Linked DNA regions of Danio rerio. The protein of the gene in region 2 interacts with the protein of the main gene of each other region in a pairwise test. Links are inferred from orthologs where the notes say so. Each region holds a gene or a part of one and is shown on either strand. Other genes may lie near its edges.

Region 1 (10,115 bases), on a different chromosome or scaffold from region 2:
AATTCATTTGTTACCTTAAAATTCTACACACAATACCCCATAATGAAAATGAGAAAAAAGAAAAAAGATTTTTTGAAATTGTTGCAAATTTATAAATAAATAAATAAATAAATATATATATATATATATATATATATATATATATATATATATATATATATATATATATATATACAAATCACATGTACATCAGTGTTCACAGCCTTTGCTCAATACTTTGTTGATGCACCTTTGGCAGCAATAACAGCCTCAAGTCTTTTTGGATAAGACGCCACAAGCTTGGCACACCTGTCTTTGGGAATTTTTGCCCATTCCTGTACCTCTCAAGCTCTATCAGGTTGGATAGGAAGCGACAGTGTACAGATATTTGCAGGTCTCTCCAGAGATGCTCAATAGGATTTAGATCTGGGCTCTGGCTGGGCCACTCAAGGACATTCACCAAGTTGTTGTGAAGCCACTCCATTGATATTTTGGCGGTGTGCTTTGGGTCATTGCCCTGCTGGAAGTTGAACCGTCGACCCAGTCTGAAGTCAAGAGCAGGTTTTCATTCAGGATGTACATTGCTGCATTCATCTTTCCCTCTATCCTGACTAGTCTTCCAGTTCCTGCTGCTGTAAAACATCCCCATAGCATGATGCTGCCACCACCATGCTTCACTGTAAGGATGATGTTAGCCTGGTGATGAGCGGTGTCTGGTTTTCTCCGGACGTAACGCCTGGCATTCACTCCATCAAAGACAATATATTAATGTAATTTAAATATATAAAATTTGAATTGATGTTTACTTAAAACTTTAATTAGTTTAGTTTAGTTTGTTTATATAGCACATTTTTTACAACACAACGTTGGCCAAAGTGCTGAACACAATCAATACTAAACATGAAATCTACATCACATAAATAACAATTAAAACATAAGGCAAATCCCTCAACATTAAAAAGGCTCAAATACTAAAGAACAAAGATGGTGTTTCAAACGCTTTTTAAAAACAGGTAGAGTTGGAGCATGTCTAAATTATATTGTTCTGATAAAAGATTTTTTTTTAAAGATTTTGTTAAATAAAAGATTTTTCTAGAGTCATCCACCCTAATTTTGTGGCTCAAAAGTATCGGTTCAGGCACCGGTATCATTTTAAAAGTATCGATTTAGCACCGGTATCGAAAAAAAAAAACGTAAAAAAAAAACGATACCCAACCCTTTCATTGGGTTATCGATCACCTCCCTGATTAAGGCTATTCTCCCCGATCACTCAGCTTAGATGGCCGGCCAGCTCTACGAAGAGTCCTGGTGGTTCCAAACATTTTCCACTTACAGATGATAGAGGCCACTGTGCTCATTGGAACTTTCAGAGAAGCAGAAATTTTTCTGTAACCTTCCCCTGCCTTGTGCCTCGAGACAATCCTTTTTCGGAGGTCTACAGACAATTCCTTTGTCTTCATGCTTGGTTTGTGCTTTGACATGCACTGTCAACCCAGGGACCTGATATAGACAGGTGTATGCCTTTTCAAATCATGTCCAATCAACTGAATTTACCACAGGTGAACTCCAATTAAGCTGCTGCAACATCTCAAGAATGATCAGTGCAAAAAGAATGTACCTGAGCTCAATTTAGAGCTTCACGGCAAAGGCTGTTAATACTTCTGTACATGTGATTTTTTTTTCAGGTTTTTTATTTTAAAATAAATTTGCAACAATTAAAAAAATATTTTTTCACATTGTCATTATGGGGTATTGCGTGTAGAATTTTGAGGAAATAAATTAATTTAATCCATTTTGGAATAAGGCTGTAACTTCAAAAAAATGTGGAAATGCGCTATGAATACTTTCCGTATGCACTGTATATTTGCTTAAGTCCATAACTGAAAAGTATTATCACATTTATCAGTTTTAGTTTGATGTTTTTTTTGTTAACTTAATCGATTTGTTTTGGGACAACATAAATAAATTGTGTGGAACCAAGCATTTTTTACAGTTAATAAAAAAACTGTAGGAATATGAAAGGTTGAATCATCAGACAACATGCAGTGCTTTATGTGCAGAGCTGTACACCTGGGGAGAAGGTTTCTGTGCTGTTTCCATTCATGCCGAGCTCTTTGTCGTTGCCTGAGGTTGTTGAACTGCAGTGTGAGAGTGATGGCCAGCTGGAGAACAGACAGGCCACCCAGCAGACGGTAACTGTGACTGATCCTGGGGTCATCGCCGGACGCATTTCCCACTCTTAGCTAAACAAAACATACTCACAGTTACGCAGAGTAGACAATTTAAATCTCTAAACCAGTGGTTCTCAAACTTTTTTCACCAAGTACCACCTCAGAAAAAATTGTCTCTCCAACTACCACCATAATAAACAGTTGGCCAAATTAAGCATCTACAGCACAGCACGGTTCGAAGACGAGGCAGAGTCATATTCATTCAACAAAATCATATTCCGTACAAAATTTGAAGCTGATCAGTCGGTTCTTGTCACGTGACTCGAGGTGCAGCATCCTGAAAAAGTTAAGATGTTTTCAACTGGGGACCCCTGGAATATGTAAGCGCGTCGTGCTGCAGTTCTTACTAATTTTGCTAGCCTGTGGGTTAAATTTTGGCACTCAAGTGACCGAGATGTAACAAGAGAATATGGTCATTTTTCAAAATAAATAATCGTTCAGACTAAGACTATAAATAAAAGGAAAATAATTAATGATTTTTATGTGCGACCGCTTACCAACTGATCTATAGACCGGTGCCGGTCTGTGGCTCAAGGGTTTGAGACCACTGCACTCTGCAAGCACCACGCACCTCTTTCTCTAGTTCTGCACCAAATTGAATAGATTTTTTAGCAGCTGATGACGCGATGCACTAAAGTAAACATTTTGTGCAAATTTTCTTTTATAATTGTACTGACATGCTGCTGTCAAAAAAAGTAAAGACACTAAAATCGTAAAAAGACTATGAAGACGGTAAAATCGTAAAAAGACGATAAAGTAAATATGGTAAAATCATAAAAAGACAAAACAGACGGTAAAATCATAAAAAGACGATAAAGTAAAGACGATAAAATCGTAAAAAAAAGATAAAGACGGTAAAATCGTAAAAAGACAAAGTAAAGACCATAAAATCATAAAAAGATGATAAAGACGGTAAAATCGTAAAAAGATGATAAAGTAAAGACGATAAAATAGTAAAAAGACGATAAAGATGGTAAAATCGTAAAAAGACAATAAAGTAAAGACGATAAAATCATAAAAAGATGATGAAGACGGTAAAATTGTAAAAAGACGATAAAGTAAAGACAATAAAATTGTAAAAAAAAAGATAAAGACGGTAAAATCGTAAAAAGATGATAAAGTAAAGACGATAAAATCGTAAAAAGACGATAAAGACAGTAAAATCATAAAAAGACGATAAAGTAAAGACGGTAAAATCCTAAAAAGACAATAAAGACGATAAAATTGTAAAAAGACGATAAAAACAGTAAAATCCTAAAAATACGATAAAGTAAAGACAATAAAATTCTAAAAACACAGTAAAATCGTTAAAAGACTATACAGTAAAAACGGTAAAATCTTAAAAAGAAAGTAAAAACAGTAAAAAAATTATATATATATATATATATATATATATAAATATATTCAATGACATATATATTCAAAATATCTTTTTTGCACTAAATAACTAACACAAATCTCACAGATCGCAACCAATCAGATAATAAAAATTTAAAACTTGGATATTTTTTTTTTCGTGTGAATAAATCATACCTTCAACCAGAGGTTGATTGTCATGTCTGATGCTAAGGCTAGTTATTTACCTTAAAAGATATTAACTATTCAAATATCTTGCTTCCACATTACAATAATTAAGGTAAAATAACACACTTTAAAGTGATAGTTTACCCAGATTTGCTCACTATTTTCTCACCCTGAAGTGGTTTCTTTCTACTTTTGAACACAAATGAAGACATTTTAAAGAAAGCTGCAAAGCTGTAAGCACTGACTTTCGTAGCATTTGTTTTTCTTCTATTGAAGTCAATGGTTGCAGGTTTCCAACATTCTTCAAAATATTGCAGAATGGACTTTAACCAATTTTTTTTATTTACCCGTGGTTGATGGTGATGTCTGAGGCTAAAGCTAGTTATTTATCTTAATGGACATTAACTATTCAAATATCTTACACATTGGAAATCTGTAACTCTTTACTTGCATAGCATTTTTTTCCTATTATGGAAGTCAATAGTTACAGGTTTCCAACATTTTTTCAAAATATCTCTCTTGTGTTCAACAGAGAAAACTCAAATAGTCTTGGAACAAGTAAATAAAGAAAAAATGTAAATTTTTGGGTGAACTGTCCCTTTAATACAGCATGTGAGATAATAAATTATTATCTTACTCCCCGGTTGAAAAATTTGAATAATAAAAGAACAGACACTTACATAACGAACACCTGCAGCTCTTTTAGCAATGTGGTAAAAGGCTCCAGTGGTGTAAAAGAGCGCCACATGTAGCCTGTACAGCAGTGTGATTCCCTGCTGCAGGGCAAACACAAGCGGAATCAAAGACTTCCTCTGAGACTCCGTAAGCAGCCCCACAGCTCTCTGGATCCAGAACCGCATGTGTGATAACGGGTTCCAGGTTCTGCGTGTGTTCTGAGGTGCTTCAGCTTCCAGCTCATTCTCAACACAGATTAAGACCTTGTCTAAAAGATAAGGCACAAACGTGTGAAAGCAGATAAGTGCCGTCCGGCGGATTCGTGAAGGGATTCGCCTTTTGCTTGGGTCCACCTGGATGATGCTGACGTACTCCTCACCCAGAGTCTGATATCCTGAATGAAACGGACAACAATATAGATGCTATTAGGAGAGCACGATATTGTAAAAACTGTTGTTATTCTGCAATATCCAGTGCTCAACATAAATGAGTACACCCCATATTGAAAATGCATATTTTTATCAATTTCTCAGTTAATCTAGAGTACATCCGGAAAGTATCATAGCGCTTCACTTTTTCCACATTTTTTGTTACAGCCTTATTCCAAAATGGATTAAATTTATTTATTTTCTCAAAGTTCTACACACAATATCCCATAATGACAATGTGAAAAAAAGGAAATTGAAATTGTTGCACATTTATTAAAAATAAAAAACTTGAAAAATCTCATGTACATCAGTATTCACAGCCTTTGCTCAATACTTTGCTGATGCACCTTTGCCAGAAATTACAGCCTCAAGTATTTTTGAATATGATGCCACAAGCTTGGCACACCTGTCTTTGGGAATTTTTGCCCATTCCTCTTTGCAGTACCTCTTAAGCTCTATCAGGTTGGATGGGAAGCAACGGTGTACAGCCCTTTTCAGATCTCTCCATAAACGTACAATAGGATTTGGGTCTGGACTCTGGCTGGGCCACCCAAAAACAATCACTGAGTTGTTGTGAAGTGACTCCATTGATACTTTGGCGGTGTGCTTTGGGTCATTGTCCTGCTGGAAGATAAACTATCACCCCAGTCAAGAGCACTCTGAAGCAGGTTTTCATTCAGGATGTCTCTGTACATTGCTGCATTCATCTTTCCCTCTAACCTGACTGGTCTTCCAGTTCCTGCTGCTGAAAAACATCCCCACAGCATGATGCTGCCACCACCATGCTTCACTGTAGGGATGGTGTTAGCCTGGTGATGAGCGGTGCCTGGTTTTCTCCAAACGTAACACCTGGCATTCACTCCAAAGAGTTCAATTTTAGTCTCATCAGACCAGAGAATATTGTTTCTTATAGTTTGAGAGTCCTTCAGATGCCTTTTGGCAAATTCCAGGCAGGGAGTGGTTTCCATCTGGCCACTCTATCATACAGGTCTGATTGGTGGATTGCTGCACAGATAGTTGTCCTTCTGTAAGGTTCTCCTCTCTCCACAGAAGAACGCTGGAGCTCAGACAGAGTGACCATCGGGTTATTGATCACCTCCCTGACTAAGGCTCTTCTCCCCTGATCACTTAGCTTAGATGGCCGGCCAGCTCTAAGAAGAGTCCTGGTGGTTCCAAACTTCTTCCACTTACGGATGATGGGAGGCCACTGTGCTCATTGGAACTTTCAGAGAAGCAGAAATTTTTCTGTAACCTTCCCCTGCCTTCTGCCTTGAGACAATTCTTTTTCGGAGGTCTACAGATAATTCCTTTATCTTCAGCTTGGTTTGTGCTTTGACATGCACTGTCAACCCTGGGACCTTATATAGACAGGTGTATGCCTTTTCAAATCAAGTCCAATCAACTGAATTTATCACAGGTGAACTCCAATTAAGCTGCTGAAACATCTCAAGAATGATCAGTGCAAAAAGAATGTACCTGAGCTTATTTTGGCGCTTCACAGCTGTGAATACTTCTGTACATGTGATTTTTCAGGGTTTTTATCTGTGATAAATTTGCAACAATTTAAAAAACTATTTTTTCACATTTCCATTATGGGGTATTGTGTGTAGAATCGAGGAAATACATGAATTTAATCCATTTTGGAATAAGGCTGTAACATACAAAACAATACAATGCAAAACAACAATTAAAAAATCACAACTTACAGTACCTGATAAAGTTGTTAGGATATAGTAGGTCAGATCAGATAATAATTCAATTTCCTTTCTCCACTGAAGCCAACGTCTGGAACCTTGAGGAAACAAAAAAGGAAAGGTTTGAAGAAATAGCTCTTTAAAAAAAAAATGGTGACTGAAGGGATAGTTGCCCCAAAATAAAAATGTACTCACTATATAGACTACCTGACAAAAGTCTTGTTGCCTATCCAAGTTTTGAGAACTACAAGTGATAACTAGACTTCTAGTTGATCATTTGGTATCAGAAGTGGCTAATATGAAAGGCAAAGGCCTCTAGATTACACTTATTTTACCAAAATAAAATATGATCATGCCTTGATTTTTAATGATTTAATTAGGACAGTAAGGTCTGACTTTGCTTAGACAAAAGTCCTGTCACTTAACAGATAGTGTAAGTAGTGTACAGTATAAAATTTAAAGTCATGGTGCAGTGGAAAATGAATTAATATTGTGTTTGCGCCTACACAAATCATCTTCATGCCATGGATGAGCTGAAGTATTCAAAACTTATGATGGTAGTATAAAGCTGACGATTTCTAGTTCTGGGTAGCAGCTGGAAGGACATCCGCTGCGATCATTACGCTGTGGTGCCCTCTGGCAAATAAGAAACTAAGCCAAAAGAAAATAAATGAATGAATGAAGTAAGCATTTTAGTGTAGTTTTAGTACTATTTTTATTATTATTTTTATTATTATTATTAATGTTTTGGCATGGGTTTTCTCCAGGAGCGCCGGTTTCCCCCAGTCCAAAAATATGCGCTATAGGTGAATTGAATAAGCTAAATACCCCACTTTGTGAGAAAGAGTGTGTATGGGTGTTTCCCAGTGTTGGATTGCAGCTTGAAGGCAATCCGCTGCATAAAATCATATGCTGGATAAGTTGGTGATTCATTCTGCTGTAGCAACCCCTGATTAATAAAGGGACTAAGCCAAAAAGAAAATGAATGAATGAATGAATTACTACACTTTAAAATAAAAAAATACATTAATAAGGTACAAAAACTCTTTACTCCCAATATGACCTCTAAATGGCAAACTAATTAATCATGCATTTATTGAGGTCAAAACAGATGTAATTGAGGTAAAATTGGTTTTATATTCACATATTCATTCACTGACAACTTGTAACATGCTCCCTATATTGTTTATCATGGTACTTTAAATATTCGGTCCAAAATTACATACAAGTATGACTTCAAAACAACATTAGCACTATTTATTTGCCTGTCAACAATGTTGTACTTTATTACTCATTGACTGCAAATATGATTTCTAAACATAGAAATAGCAAATAATAATTTTCTGAAATTATATTATTAAGAAAAAAGTCTGAATGTGCCACTAAAAAAAAAGCAACTTTGCCTCAATAGTGTCCAGATACTAAAAAGACCCTAAAGACTTACTCTGTGGTCCAGGGTCACATTTACTGTTTATTGAAACTTTACTGTCAAAGTCGGTCACCTAATATCATGGTTATAATATCAAATTAACAAATAAACATCCAATTTTATGCTACTCTTTCCAAGTGCACACATACCAGCGATTCAAAACAGAAGTAATTGACATACATTTGGTTTAATATTCACACATTTGTTCATTTTTGAACAGTTGGAAGGTCTCTATATTATACTTTAAATATATTAAGGTAAAGTTGGTTTAATAGTCACATATTCATTCATTGACAACTTGTCGCATGCTTCCTATATTGTTTACCATGGTACTTTGAATATTCAGTCCACAAATCACATGCAAGTATGACTTCAAAACAACATTAGCACTATATATTTGATTGTCAACAATGTTGTACTTACTATATAGAATACAATGTTGACCCTAAAGACACATTCTGTGGTCGATTGGGTCACATTTACTGTTTATTGAAACTTTACTGTCAAAGTTGGTCACCTAATACCATAGTTATAATATCAAATTAAGAAATAAACATCCAAATTTGTGATACTCTTTCCAAGTGCACATGGTCCAGCGAGTCAAAACAGATGTAACTTTAATTGCTAGCTAAACAATAAGCCAGAGACCATAAATACAAAATTTTGCCCTATAACCAACTTGAAAACATAATATTAGTGTGCCTGGGAGTGTTTTACCAGCAAAGGTGTGGAAGAGCTCATTGGCGTTGTTTGTCAGGTTGTTCTGGTAGTATTCATCCTTCTGACAGGAGCGGATCAGCTGCGGCTGGTTCGCAGGAACAAGAGGCATCGCTCCGTTCGTAAAACTTTCAACAGCTCCTTAGAGGGCACGTGTATGTGCTAGCAGTTTATGTTTTTCATTTTGCAAAATATGGAAGACGGTTGTTGTTAAAATGAACGTTATTAGACTAGCTCACTCTCATAACTGTGCACGCTTCTATCTCTTCCGTGTTTAGTCACGTGACGCTCTCAAGAGCCCTCGATTGGCCGGTTGGTGACAGGCGCTTAGTGACCAGAGATCGAGTTTTCCTGTCACGAACTGGCAAAATCACGGTGTAATTGTTAAAAGTGACTCTAAGAAAAATACAAAAGAGTGCTTGCTTCAAAGGATGATTTTTCTATGGGCTGAAACTTGACGTGAGTCTATAATGATCTGTTCAATTGTCCGATCCATTCCATTTATTTTAGGTTTATTTAAAAAAAAAAAACTATTTCTTTATGTGAATTTCAAACTAAAACATTTTCCTTCATTTGTAAAGTACACATTTTTAACCGTATTGATGTTCTTAGCTCACATTGCTAGTTGGGGAACAATTCGTCTGTGCAAAAATAGTTTATCCTTGTAATCTTAAAATTGACAATCTGAAAATGCACTTCCTGTTTGTTAATATTCATGAATAAATGTTTATTAATATGTTTATAGGAAATGAGTGCTAATGTAACAACTTACCTCAAATCTCCTCTGGCAAAAAATGGATTCACTTTTTTCTTAATATTCACCTTTTTTATTTGACCAATACCTGTCGTGTGTACGCTGCAGCTCATTAAAAATTATTGAGTATTTAAAACAAAACAATTGAGTATTTTTTTTTTTACTTACAGTTTTTTTTTTTTTTTATTTACTCATTCAAAATTGCTTGTTCGTTCCAGAGCGCAACGGTTGGCATAGCAATGTGATACTTCATGTTTCCTTTTCTCTGCCAGTCCTATGAATATATTTAGCGTTTCTCATAGGCTGCGTCCGAAACAAAGATTATAGAATACACAAGACATGTCACTAGTATACTTTTAAATGGGGAAAATTGTAACTATTAATATGGCTAATAAAGCCATGCCTTCTAGTACAGCAGCCAATCAGCGATCACGATATGGCTAATAAAGCTGCCTTCTAATACAGGAGCCAATCAGCGATCGCTATTCACCTTATTCTCAGCTGTCGAGCGGGCGCTGCCATTTGAATTCTTTTTGTCTCGCGACTTCCGGTCACATTCACTTCCATTCATTTTTTGACGTTAACAACTGCTCGTTACGCTGCTTGATGTTGCAATTTAATATTTTCTTATTATATTATGCTACTTGGTCTGTGTAGTCATGCAAACATTTGTTTGTTGAGCAA
Region 2 (10,794 bases):
ACTATAACTTGTTAGGTTTTTTCATTTTATTCTTTTTTGTCTTTGAAGTAGAAATGTGTATATTCCATACAAAGTGTGAAGCTGAACGGTCAGTTCTTGTAAGGTGAATTGCGGTGTGCTTGTGCCATTCTTTTACCTAGGTGCACCTGAAAAGCGTGAGGGTGTTGTGCCGCGTGTGCACTCCCAATATGCACGCAAGAAAAGAAATAACAAACGTGCACGTGCAAAGACATAACATGTGAACGGCCCTTAGGTAATAGCCTCACCCATAGTGAATCCAGTGTGCGTGGGTATTAGCCTCAGTATACAAACTTGGAACTTTACACTAGCGCACAGTTGGCATAAGTTGGCGCAACTTTAGTTGCAGCAGTTTGTTCTGTGTCAAAACGCGGTGTTGAGAAGCCTTTATGATTAATTAACCATGACAAATTAAATCGCAATTAATAGTGAAATCGTTCAATCATTGCCTCCCTACTTCAGGGTGGAGCTGAATATATTTACAATCTGTATGTATATCCTGTGTTTTGTGTCAGACAAGCATATGAACGGATGGCTCATGGAGTCGATGCATTGTAATGTATAAAAAACAATCTGTGTTTCTCCTTTTCAAAATAAGAGTCCCACATAAATAGTAAGTTTAATATAATCTTAGATAAACCTAAAAAGAACTAATGGAGCAAAATGGTAAATGTTGTATTACAAGGAAACCTTGAGGTGTATCAAACGCAGCCTTAGGCGTTCATAATAATAATTCCAGAGCAAATTATCAGTGTGCTTTTTGGCTGGTGATCTCCTGATAATGTGTCAGCTTTTCAGGTCCAGATGACATAGAACGTGACCTAAAGTACATGCAAATTTGGAGGTCGTGCCCCGTGAGTCACGCAACAGTCTGTTTTGTGTTCCGATTTTTCATCGAGCTTTACACTCATGGAATTTTCATGAGAACAAGAGAACAATTGTGTTTGAGACTCACTGTATGGGAATTTCTATTATTCACCTTTAAAGGGCCATGACACCCCCCACTTTCGGTTAAAGTCTACTTTAGAATTTTTTCAAAAGATGCATGATTAATGGGCGTGGAGCTCCGCAAGCATCAGGCAGGAGTGGGCGCGGCCTGCAGGGGAGAAGGGGAGCGAACAACTGTTGATGTCAGTTAGCTCACAAAATGAGACAAACCGTGAGGAGACGCATGAGTTTATAGTTTACAAAGTTAAAATGCAAAGAAAAAAACTGGAATTTAATGCCCTACTACATTTGTTATTCGTAATCTCATATACAGACAACCACAATTTATATCATTATAAAGATAATCGTGTTCATATAAACACTATAAATAAGGACTTTTCCCTCAATCCCCGGGTCTGAACCATAGATCTTAAATGCAGACTCAGTGCAGCAGGTCTCCTGACCTGCCTATTTTAACCATTAGTCCAGCTGGTAATCGGAGGATTTAGGCAAACACAGCAGCACGGCGACGTGTCTGAATGTGAATGAACTCCTGATACAAGACAACATCCGCCATTCTCCAATTCTTGTACTGCTCTCCCGACAAAAATGCTAGCATCACACACACAGCTTTGCTGTATGATCGGCCCTGACAGGATCGCGGGGAAAAACATGCAACAAACCCCGTGGATCATGGAAACAAACACATACAAGCCTTCATAAACGGCTACTGTGTGCCGTGGGTCCGTGAACCACAGCTTGAGTTTGGCACTGGTCTGGCAGGTCTGCCTCTGCCTTGCCTTCGGAAAGCACGTGCTGTCGTGCTCTCATGAATAATTAAGTAGCCGGCTCTTCTCATAGGATAAGAAACCTCCGCTATGAATAATAATGAGAAACCGACGCGTCATCATTGTACTTGCAGTACTGCGCTACGTCACCCATTTTGATCCCGCCCCAAAAATCATTTTAAACCCGGAAGCGGAAATTAGCTGACAAAAGCTCAAAATTATCCAGTTTTCCCCACAATGAAAGCTGACAGATGCTAACATTGTCTTAACTGATGCTCAACACACACAAATCTGTTAATATATAAAAAAAAAGTTCTCCAGGGTGTCCTGAACCTTTAGAAGCTTTGAACAGTATTAACTTGAATCTTTTCTTTCATTTGATTTCAGATCTAATTGAAGCGAATGAGGGGAGTGAAGAGGAGAAACAAGTCGAAGCGGTGAAAATCCCTCATTTACAGACTTGTGGTATTTTTTTTATTGAAAGGAGAGAAAAGAAATGCTTCACCTTCACTCATTGTTGGAAGAGTTTTAGGCGACCTAATAATCACATCACAATCCACAACGGAGAGAAAGCATTCACATGCGATCGATGCGGAAAGAGTTTCACACGCAAAGAAAGGCTTAAAGAACACACGAGGATCCACACTGGAGAGAAACCCTTCGCTTGTGCTCAGTGTGGGAAGAGATTCGGATGCTCATCGAACCTTAAACAGCACATGATGACTCACACTGGAGAGAAACCACACAAATGCGATCAATGCGGCAAGACATTTTTGAAGCCGTCAGATCTGATCAGCCACCTCAGAGTTCATACAAACGAGAAGCCTTATTCGTGTTCGGTGTGTGGAAAGAGTTTCACACATCAACAGTATTTAAGAAAACATCAGAAGTTCCACTCTGGGGTGAGAGAGTACGTGTGCTTCGAGTGCGAGAAGACTTTCATTAGGGTTGAAGAATTGAAACGGCACCAGAGGATTCACACTGGAGAGAAGCCTTACAAGTGTTCACACTGCGACACCAGTTTCAGTCAGATACAACACCTCAGAACACACCAGAGGATTCACACCGGAGAGAAACCTCACAAGTGTTCACACTGCGACAAGAGATTCACTCAGTTAGGAGTCCTGAAGACACACGAGAGGATTCACACCGGAGAGAAACCGTACACGTGTGATCAGTGCTTCAGGAGTTTCACATATTCATTACAGCTCAAGAAACACATGAAAATCCACACTGGAGAAATGCGGGAGATGTCGGAAGAGAGTGTTGATGGTTGAGTGTGGAAAGTCTATCCATTTGTCTTCTATTTGATTCTGTTATTATTTAAAAAAGTTTCTGAGGTCATGGGCGTTGTTAGGCCTATTTTAGGGGGGCTGTAGCCTATAATTCTATTCAGCATCTCAAAAACTCTTACGATTAGCTCATAAACTAAACACTAAATTATCGCCTGTCCCCTTTAAATTTGATATGAAAACGGTCGAAGAATCCGGCTCCTCCCCGTCTTTCGTTTTTCATTTGATCAGCAAACCACAGCTGTGCAGAGATATTATAGATACACTTGTATAACACGTACACCAATGTCATGGAGGAGCAATCGGGTTTCCCATCTACAGTTTCATCGGTGCTCACCTCATAATCACAGCTGTTTCCTCGAAAAAGTAGCATTTATTGAACATTCATTCATTCATTTTCTTGTCGGCTTAGTCGCTTTATTAATCCGGGGTCGCCACAGCGGAATGAACCGCCAACTTATCCAGCAAGTTTTTACACAGCGGATGCCCTTCCAGCCACAACCCATCTCTGGGAAACATCCACACACACATTCACACACTATGGACAATTTAGCCTACCCAATTCACCTGTACCGCATATCTTTGGACTGTGGGGGAAACTGGAGCACCCGGAGGAAACCCACGCGAAGGCAGGGAGAACATGCAAACTCCACACAGAAACGCCAACTGAGCCGAGGTTTGATCCTGCGACCTTCTTGCTGTGAGGCAACAGCACTACCTACTGCGCTACTGCCTCGCCTCATATCGAACATTTCGCTATTTAAATTTCAAAATGAACTACCAAAATAAAACACATTAAAGTGCCTGTGGCATTAACTATACCATACAGTCTTGCTCAGAAAGGATTAAACACAGTGACAGAACCACTTAGTGAATGTACTCATTTAAACTGCCAGAGTCACTGTTAGAGATGGAAACATCAAGTGTTGTGGTATTTTAAAAAAGCCTTATTTATTATGAATCAGATCATGAAATGTGTGAATTAGCCTGTAGTTTTAATGTTTATATATGTTTAAATTCACAGTTTAATTAGAAAAGTGGCTGTTTTGATTTTTTTTAAACATGGAAGCAAAAAATGTACTTGATTATAGAAAGTGGTTTTTACTACAGTAAACAGGTGTTTTAAGCCTATTTGGCTCATTCACAACTCAAACGGCTATCTAAACATAATAGTTATAATAACTCATTTCTAATAACTGATTTATTTTATCTTTGCCATGATGACAGTAAATAATGTTTTGCTAGATATTTTTCAAGACACTTCTACAGCTTAAAGTGACTTAAAGGCTTAACTAGGTTAATAAGGTTAACTAGGCAGGCTAGGGTTATTTGGCAAGTTATTGTATTAAGATGGTTTGTTCTGTAGACTATCGAAAAAATATAGCTTAAAGGGGCTAATTATTTTGACCTTAAAATGGTTCATAAAAAATTAAAAAACTGCTTTTATTCTAGCCGAAATAAAACAAATAAGACTTTCTCCAGAAGAAAAAATATTATCAGACATGCTGTGAAAATTTCTTTGCTCTGTTAAACATAATTTGGGAAATATTTAAAAAAGAAAAAAAAATTCAAACAGGGTTTAATAGTACTGATTGCAACGTTATGCATGTATGTATGCATGTATGTATACACACACAATTTAGTTTATCCAATTCAACTATACCCGCATGTCTTTGGACTGTGGGGGAAACCGGAGCACCCAGAGGAAACACACACAAGTTTGAGGAGAACATGCAAACTCCACACAGAATTGCCAATTGACCCAGCAGGGGCTCAAACCAGCGGCTTTCTTGCCGTGAGGCGATCGTGCACCCCACTGCGCCGCTGTGACGCCACAGGTTGATATATGCAAGTGATTCATTTGATTCATCTTTAAAGGATTTATTCATATGATTCCTTTGGTTCCTTTTTATCTAAATTCAATTGTCCTATAAAATGTAAAACTCTACGAAATACACACACAGATTGTAGGTCTACAGTAGATTATCATGAACCCTCCAGCACAGCAGGTGTCAGTACAAACCCGTTTTATTGATGTTAAAGCCCCAAGAAGAAAACGCGTCTGACAGGGAAAAAAAAGTGTTGCGACAGATGATGACCGTTGACCAGTGCGTTGATTTCCAGCACTGTAACTCTCCTGAATTATTTTGTTTGGTAAAATGAGCACCATTGTCCTCATTAAAAGGCTCGACTGACGTACCTGTAGGAAGGCGTTATTGTTGTTTGCAGTAGTTTTCCTCATCAGGTGTGATGGCGGAGCGAGGAGCTCATTTAACCACAGCTGCCCCGGCTGAAGATCGACCCTCAGTGTTTGAGGTTTTAGCGCAGGACTCTTTAATGACCGCTGTCAAACCCGCTTTACTGCATGCTGTCAAGGTATGCTCGCTTTTTCATCATACTGTACTCCTGCATTTGTACTCCTTGAGTTTTGGACTGTGACGATAAATAGCGCATGGATAAAATAAATAGTCCATTTTCCCATATTATGCTCCATCGTTTACTTTGTGGCTTCTTTTTTACGGTAAAACTATCAGAATTTATGTAGGCGCATTATTACACGCCATTACGGGGATGCTGACTGAAACATCAATGACAGCATCGTGAGGAAGTTGCAATCAAATACAGTGTTTAGCAATGAGGCGAAAACAGTAAGATCAATATGAAACTACGTAAAGCGTCATTAGGAGGTAAAGCAAAAAATTGCTATTATTGGGCAGGGTTTCACAGGAATATAAGGATCCCTAGATAGTATGTCAAAGAAAGAAGATCAAAAGGAACTCAATTTAGGGCAGGTGTAAAATGTGCCTGTCTGGTTTCTTCATAAAGACTATGAGTACACTTGTAAAACACTAGTGTAATAAATGTGTCCAAAACATTATTTGGAATGTATTTCCTTTGTATTATTAATAATAATCTATTTAAAATATTACTTGTAGAATGATTCCTTTCTATTAAGGTAAAGTACAGTAAATGTATTATTTATACGTGTATATTAATTACATATATACAGTTCTCAGCATATATGAGTGCACACCTCACAGATCTCTCAGTTAAATTCACATTTTCAATAGGATGCTTTACAATATTTGTGCAAATATATTAGATTAGTCAGTTCTGAAGCCAAATTTGGAGCTAATCTAACAAAAAACTTATTACAGTCCAAAATTGGTACATACAAATGTATGTTTGGGAAAAACCATTAAATAAAGATAAAAAAGAGAAAAAATCAAGAGAAACAAAAAAATCTATAATATTTTGTTAAAATTTTGTAATTTGTTTATATTTTCTGCAATATGTCCCATAAATAATGTATCGTCCTTCCATTTCTAAAGATGTTCGATGACTAAAGCATTATTTCAATAAACATATCGGTTATGTACCAAAATATATGACCGTTATTCTCTTAAAAATGGATTAAAATATTAATTTTGCAAATGGGGTGTACTCATTTATGTTGAGCATGATGTATATATATATGTGTGTATGTATATATATATATATAGTGTACGTGAGTGCTGTAAAGGTATCAAAATGTAAAATTGTGTCGTAAAATCTAAGGTCTGCTGCAATTAACACTATTGGTGTGTCTAGCGTAATAACCCCAGGGGTCCCAATCCAATGGAAAAAGAATTAAAAGGCTAGAGCCTTTTTTTTGCATGTTGTTATTTTATGCAACTCATTCATTTTCTTGTCGGCTTAGTCCCTTTATTAATCCGGTGTCGCCACAGCGGAAGGAACCTCCAACTTATCCAGCAAGTTTTTACGCAGCGGATGCCCTTCCAGCCGCAACCCATCTCTGGGAAACATCCACACACACATTCACACACACACTCATACACTAAGGACAATTTAGTCTACCCAGTTTACCTGTATCGCATGTCTTTGGACTGTGGGGGAAACCGGAGCACCCGGAGGAAACCCGCGGGTTTTGCAGGGAAAACGCAGGGAAAACATGCAAACTCCACACAGAAACGCCAACTGAGCTGAGGCTCGACCCAGCGACCTTCTAGCTGTGAGGCGACAGCACTACCTACTGCACTACTTCTTCGATTTGATGCAACTAATAAATACTGTTTTTATCTTCTGTAGGTTATGGCTAAAATATGGTTATTCTAATAGTTTAATAACATATATGATATTTTTGGAAATCACCAAGCAACCCCTCCTCATTGTCTCATGACCCCCACTTTGGGAACCACTGGTGTATACTGCTAGCTCCAAGTAAAGCCAGCAGGCATAAGTCTCATTTAAAGAGATGGTATCAGATTGGTTTATGGTTTCACAGATGCCAGAATTTTTGCAGTATCAGCAAGTATTCCTGATACTAGTATCGGTATCGGAACAACCCTAAAAATATCCTTAAAAAATGTAACTACCGTATTTACATTCCACAGATTCTCGCTACATCTAACCCTGCCCGCTATGGAGTTCTCTGGAGGAGGTTTGATGAGATTTACGTAATCCTGGATATGTTATTGCAGCATCACTTCCTGTCCCGCACCAGCGCCTCATTTTCAGAGAACTTCTATGGCCTGAAGCGTGTGGGATCACATAGTGCCCGTGCTGCCCATTTGGGACTGCGGCGGAGGCAACACTGGCGCTCTTTACTCCTGCTGGCCCTCATTCCATACCTGCACACCAAACTGGAGAAAATCCTGGCGCGACAGAGAGACGAGGACGATTTCTCCATCCGCTTGCCGCAGTCCTTCCTGCAGAAGATGTACAGGGCGTTTTTGGCTGCGTATCCTTTCGTGTGCATGGCGTGGGACGGCTGGGTCTTCTGCCAACAGCTTTTGTACGTTTTCGGCAAAACACGGACACATTCTCCACTTCTGTGGCTTGCCGGGGTTAAACTGTCATATCTCACGGCTAATGACATACACAGTCTGGATCTCAAGCCTTCAGGCCCAGAATTGAGCTCCGGTCAAAGGTGAGTTTATTTAGTGCTTTAATTTGCAAACTATATTGCTGGGTTCATACAGCCATGGAAAACCTGGAAAAGTCATTTTGACATGGCATTTTCCAGAAAAGTGCTGAAAAATCAGGAAAAAAAACACTAAATTTAGGAAAAGTCATGGAATTCTGAGATGGCATTTCACAGAAAAGTTTTGGAAAATCAGTAAAACCCACAAAGTTTTGGAAAACTCATGTAAATATTTTTAACTAATATCTGTATATTGAATATAGGTTAGTTGTCTTCTTTTTCTGTCCCTGGGCAATCCCATACTCTAATATTCTTAGTGCTGCGTATACATTATCTATATAGAAAAATAAATGTAAACTAAATAGATTTTTGCCAGGGCAAGGTACTGTCTCGCAGCGCTCAACCTGAAAGTGAAAACTCTAGTGACCAGTTCATGAACTAGGGCCCTCACTGTTCTGGCACCCTAGGCAGCCACCTAGGTCACCTCCATGGACGCGCCGGCCCTAATTTTTGCATTTTGTTTGTTATGCTGTTATCAATTCGAACGTGCATTGTTTTTCTTATTATTTACCAAGTATACTTAAGACATTATATAAAACTTTAGGTCAAGACAATTTACTTGAAAGTCCATTAGAAAGAAATGAGACGTATTTATGTGTTCACGTCAAATTAAATTCTCAAGCGATTTTATATACATACAAAGCATATTAAAGTTTGACGTTTCAAATAACCGTTGTTGCAATAAAATGAAAAAATATTGTGGACATATTGTTCAGCTGTCATTCATCATAACATTTACACAAAAATTAAAAGATAAACTTATTTTGACCTGTACTTCTTAAAGCATGTAATATAATAAGTATGGCACAGTAAAGCCTGGTTTATACTTCTGCGTTAAGTGATCGGCGTGACCCATGGCGCATGCAACGCACGTAGCCATGCATTTATACTTCTGAGCGCTGTTTCTGTTGTTCTACAATAACACTTCCGATACACTAGTTGGCAGTGAAGTGTAAATGTTCCTCCGGTCGAGTCTCTTCGCTAGTGTTTTTTTTTAATGCTTCCTTAATGTACAAGTGGTTCAAACTCGCTCATTTTGAGGCAGGAACCGGCGGACGTGCAACAACTTTAACCATAAGGTAAACACAACAAAACTTTTCATCTGAAGCTCCTTCACGGGACTGGACACTTGTAAACAGTCGCTCCAACAGACTCACGCGGTTCTCGGTCCCACCCATACTCGTCAGTACTTCCAAGCTGACCAATCACAGAGCTTGCGCTATGCGCTGCTGCGACGTGTAGTTCGATTTTTTGAGAGGTGCAAAACAGCAACGCCGACAGCCACGGCGAGGGCTGTGCGTCCATGTGTAGGCTGCCCCATAGCATACGCATGTGCTTGACGCAGAAGTGTAAATCAGCCTTAAATTTTAATATATTTTAAATGATTAAAAACCTTTTCTTTGTGAGTATTTTTAGAGTATTTTAATATGTCATCTTGGTCCAAATTTGCAGGATTTTTTTGTCTATAAACTACTGTTACATTAAATAGCATTTAGTAGGTGCCCTCTGTAAATGAAGGTAAAAGTACACAAACTAGACACTCTAACCATTCACTTCCGCATTTGGAATGCCGATTTGATGGCTTTCATAGCAATTCTTTTAACCATGCCCCTCTTACCATTAGTTTGTTATGAGGGAATGATGTGCATAAAGAAAGCCCCGCCCCCTACTCAATATCTCACTTCAGTTGGAAGTACATTAACATGCTAAAGTCTCAGCAACTTCAGTTTCTCACAAGCATTAATTTATTTGATGCTTGAAATACATCCATTAATTAATAAATTAATCATTTTTAGTACCTTTACGTTTTTTTGCACATCAAAATATAAAGCTGTGTACTTAAACTAAATCCTATCCTGTTTGCAGCTTTGGAGAGAAATTACAGCGAGTGGTCTCGACGGCGGTCGGTGGTGTGGCGGTGTCTCTGTCCACCAGCTTGTCGATTGGCGTGTTTTTCCTGCAGTTCCTGGAATGGTGGTATTCGTCGGAAAACCAGAGCACCGTGAAGTCCTTGACCTCCCTCCCGACACCTCCTCCCCCCCTCCACCTTCACAGCCAGGAGACGTCTCACACACACATCAAAGTGTGTCCGATCTGCAGGAAAGTGCGCACCAATGACACCGCGCTGGCCACGTCCGGCTACGTGTTCTGTTACAGGTGTATATACGTGTACGTGAAAGCCAACCACAGGTGTCCCCTCACCGGCTACCCTTCAGAACTGCAGCACCTCATTAAAATATACACCCCTGACGGATAGACTGGTCATATTTCAAGATGCCCTTATGTGAATGCCCGAATTTATATAAATATTGCAAAGTGTTCAGATAACTGCTATTTCAAATGTGACCAAAATCTAAATCTGTAATGTGGTTTGAATAGACTACTAATTTATAAATAGTAATAAATTTGTACAGAAATCAATGTTGCTGACTCTTATTTAATGTAATGTGTGTATTTACAAAGTGTATTTATCGTGTATGGCCATACACCCAAGCGCTTTACTATCATGAGAGGGGGAGGTCTCCACACCACCACCAGTGTGCAGCATCCACTCGGATCATGCAACGGCAGCCACAGGACAACGGCACCAGTGCGCTCATCACACACCAGCTATTGACCTTATTCTAAAATGCGGAAGTGCGCCTGTTTTCGCGATTGTCTTAGAACTTCCGATTCTGTCACCTATGGGAGAAATGACTAGGAATAATAAACGGCAGAAAATGGCCAAACTACTTGCTCAACAAACAAATGTTTGCATGACTATACAGACCAAGTAGCATAATAT

Evidence for each region. The genes of interacting proteins can lie anywhere in the genome.
Region 1: the proteins of pex12 (region 2) and pex10 interact in a two-hybrid assay, tested with the Homo sapiens proteins (4 studies listed by BioGRID, with this or other methods). The link is inferred for Danio rerio from reciprocal best matches to the Homo sapiens genes PEX12 and PEX10.

Annotation. Positions count from the first base shown.
Region 1 is NC_133183.1:57,049,246-57,059,360, forward strand, and holds the start of pex10 (peroxisome biogenesis factor 10), read right to left. Parts: upstream 8,911-10,115; 5' UTR 8,790-8,910; coding exon 8,678-8,789; intron 6,630-8,677; coding exon 6,549-6,629; intron 4,804-6,548; coding exon 4,415-4,803; intron 2,223-4,414; coding exon 2,050-2,222; intron 1-2,049.
Region 2 is NC_133180.1:67,479,350-67,490,143, reverse strand, and holds pex12 (peroxisome assembly protein 12), read left to right. Parts: upstream 1-5,085; 5' UTR 5,086-5,275; coding exon 5,276-5,401; intron 5,402-7,419; coding exon 7,420-7,955; intron 7,956-9,875; coding exon 9,876-10,266; 3' UTR 10,267-10,430; downstream 10,431-10,794. Other genes in the region: uncharacterized protein, read left to right, coding at 2,121-3,010. UniProt on the Homo sapiens protein: Component of a retrotranslocation channel required for peroxisome organization by mediating export of the PEX5 receptor from peroxisomes to the cytosol, thereby promoting PEX5 recycling.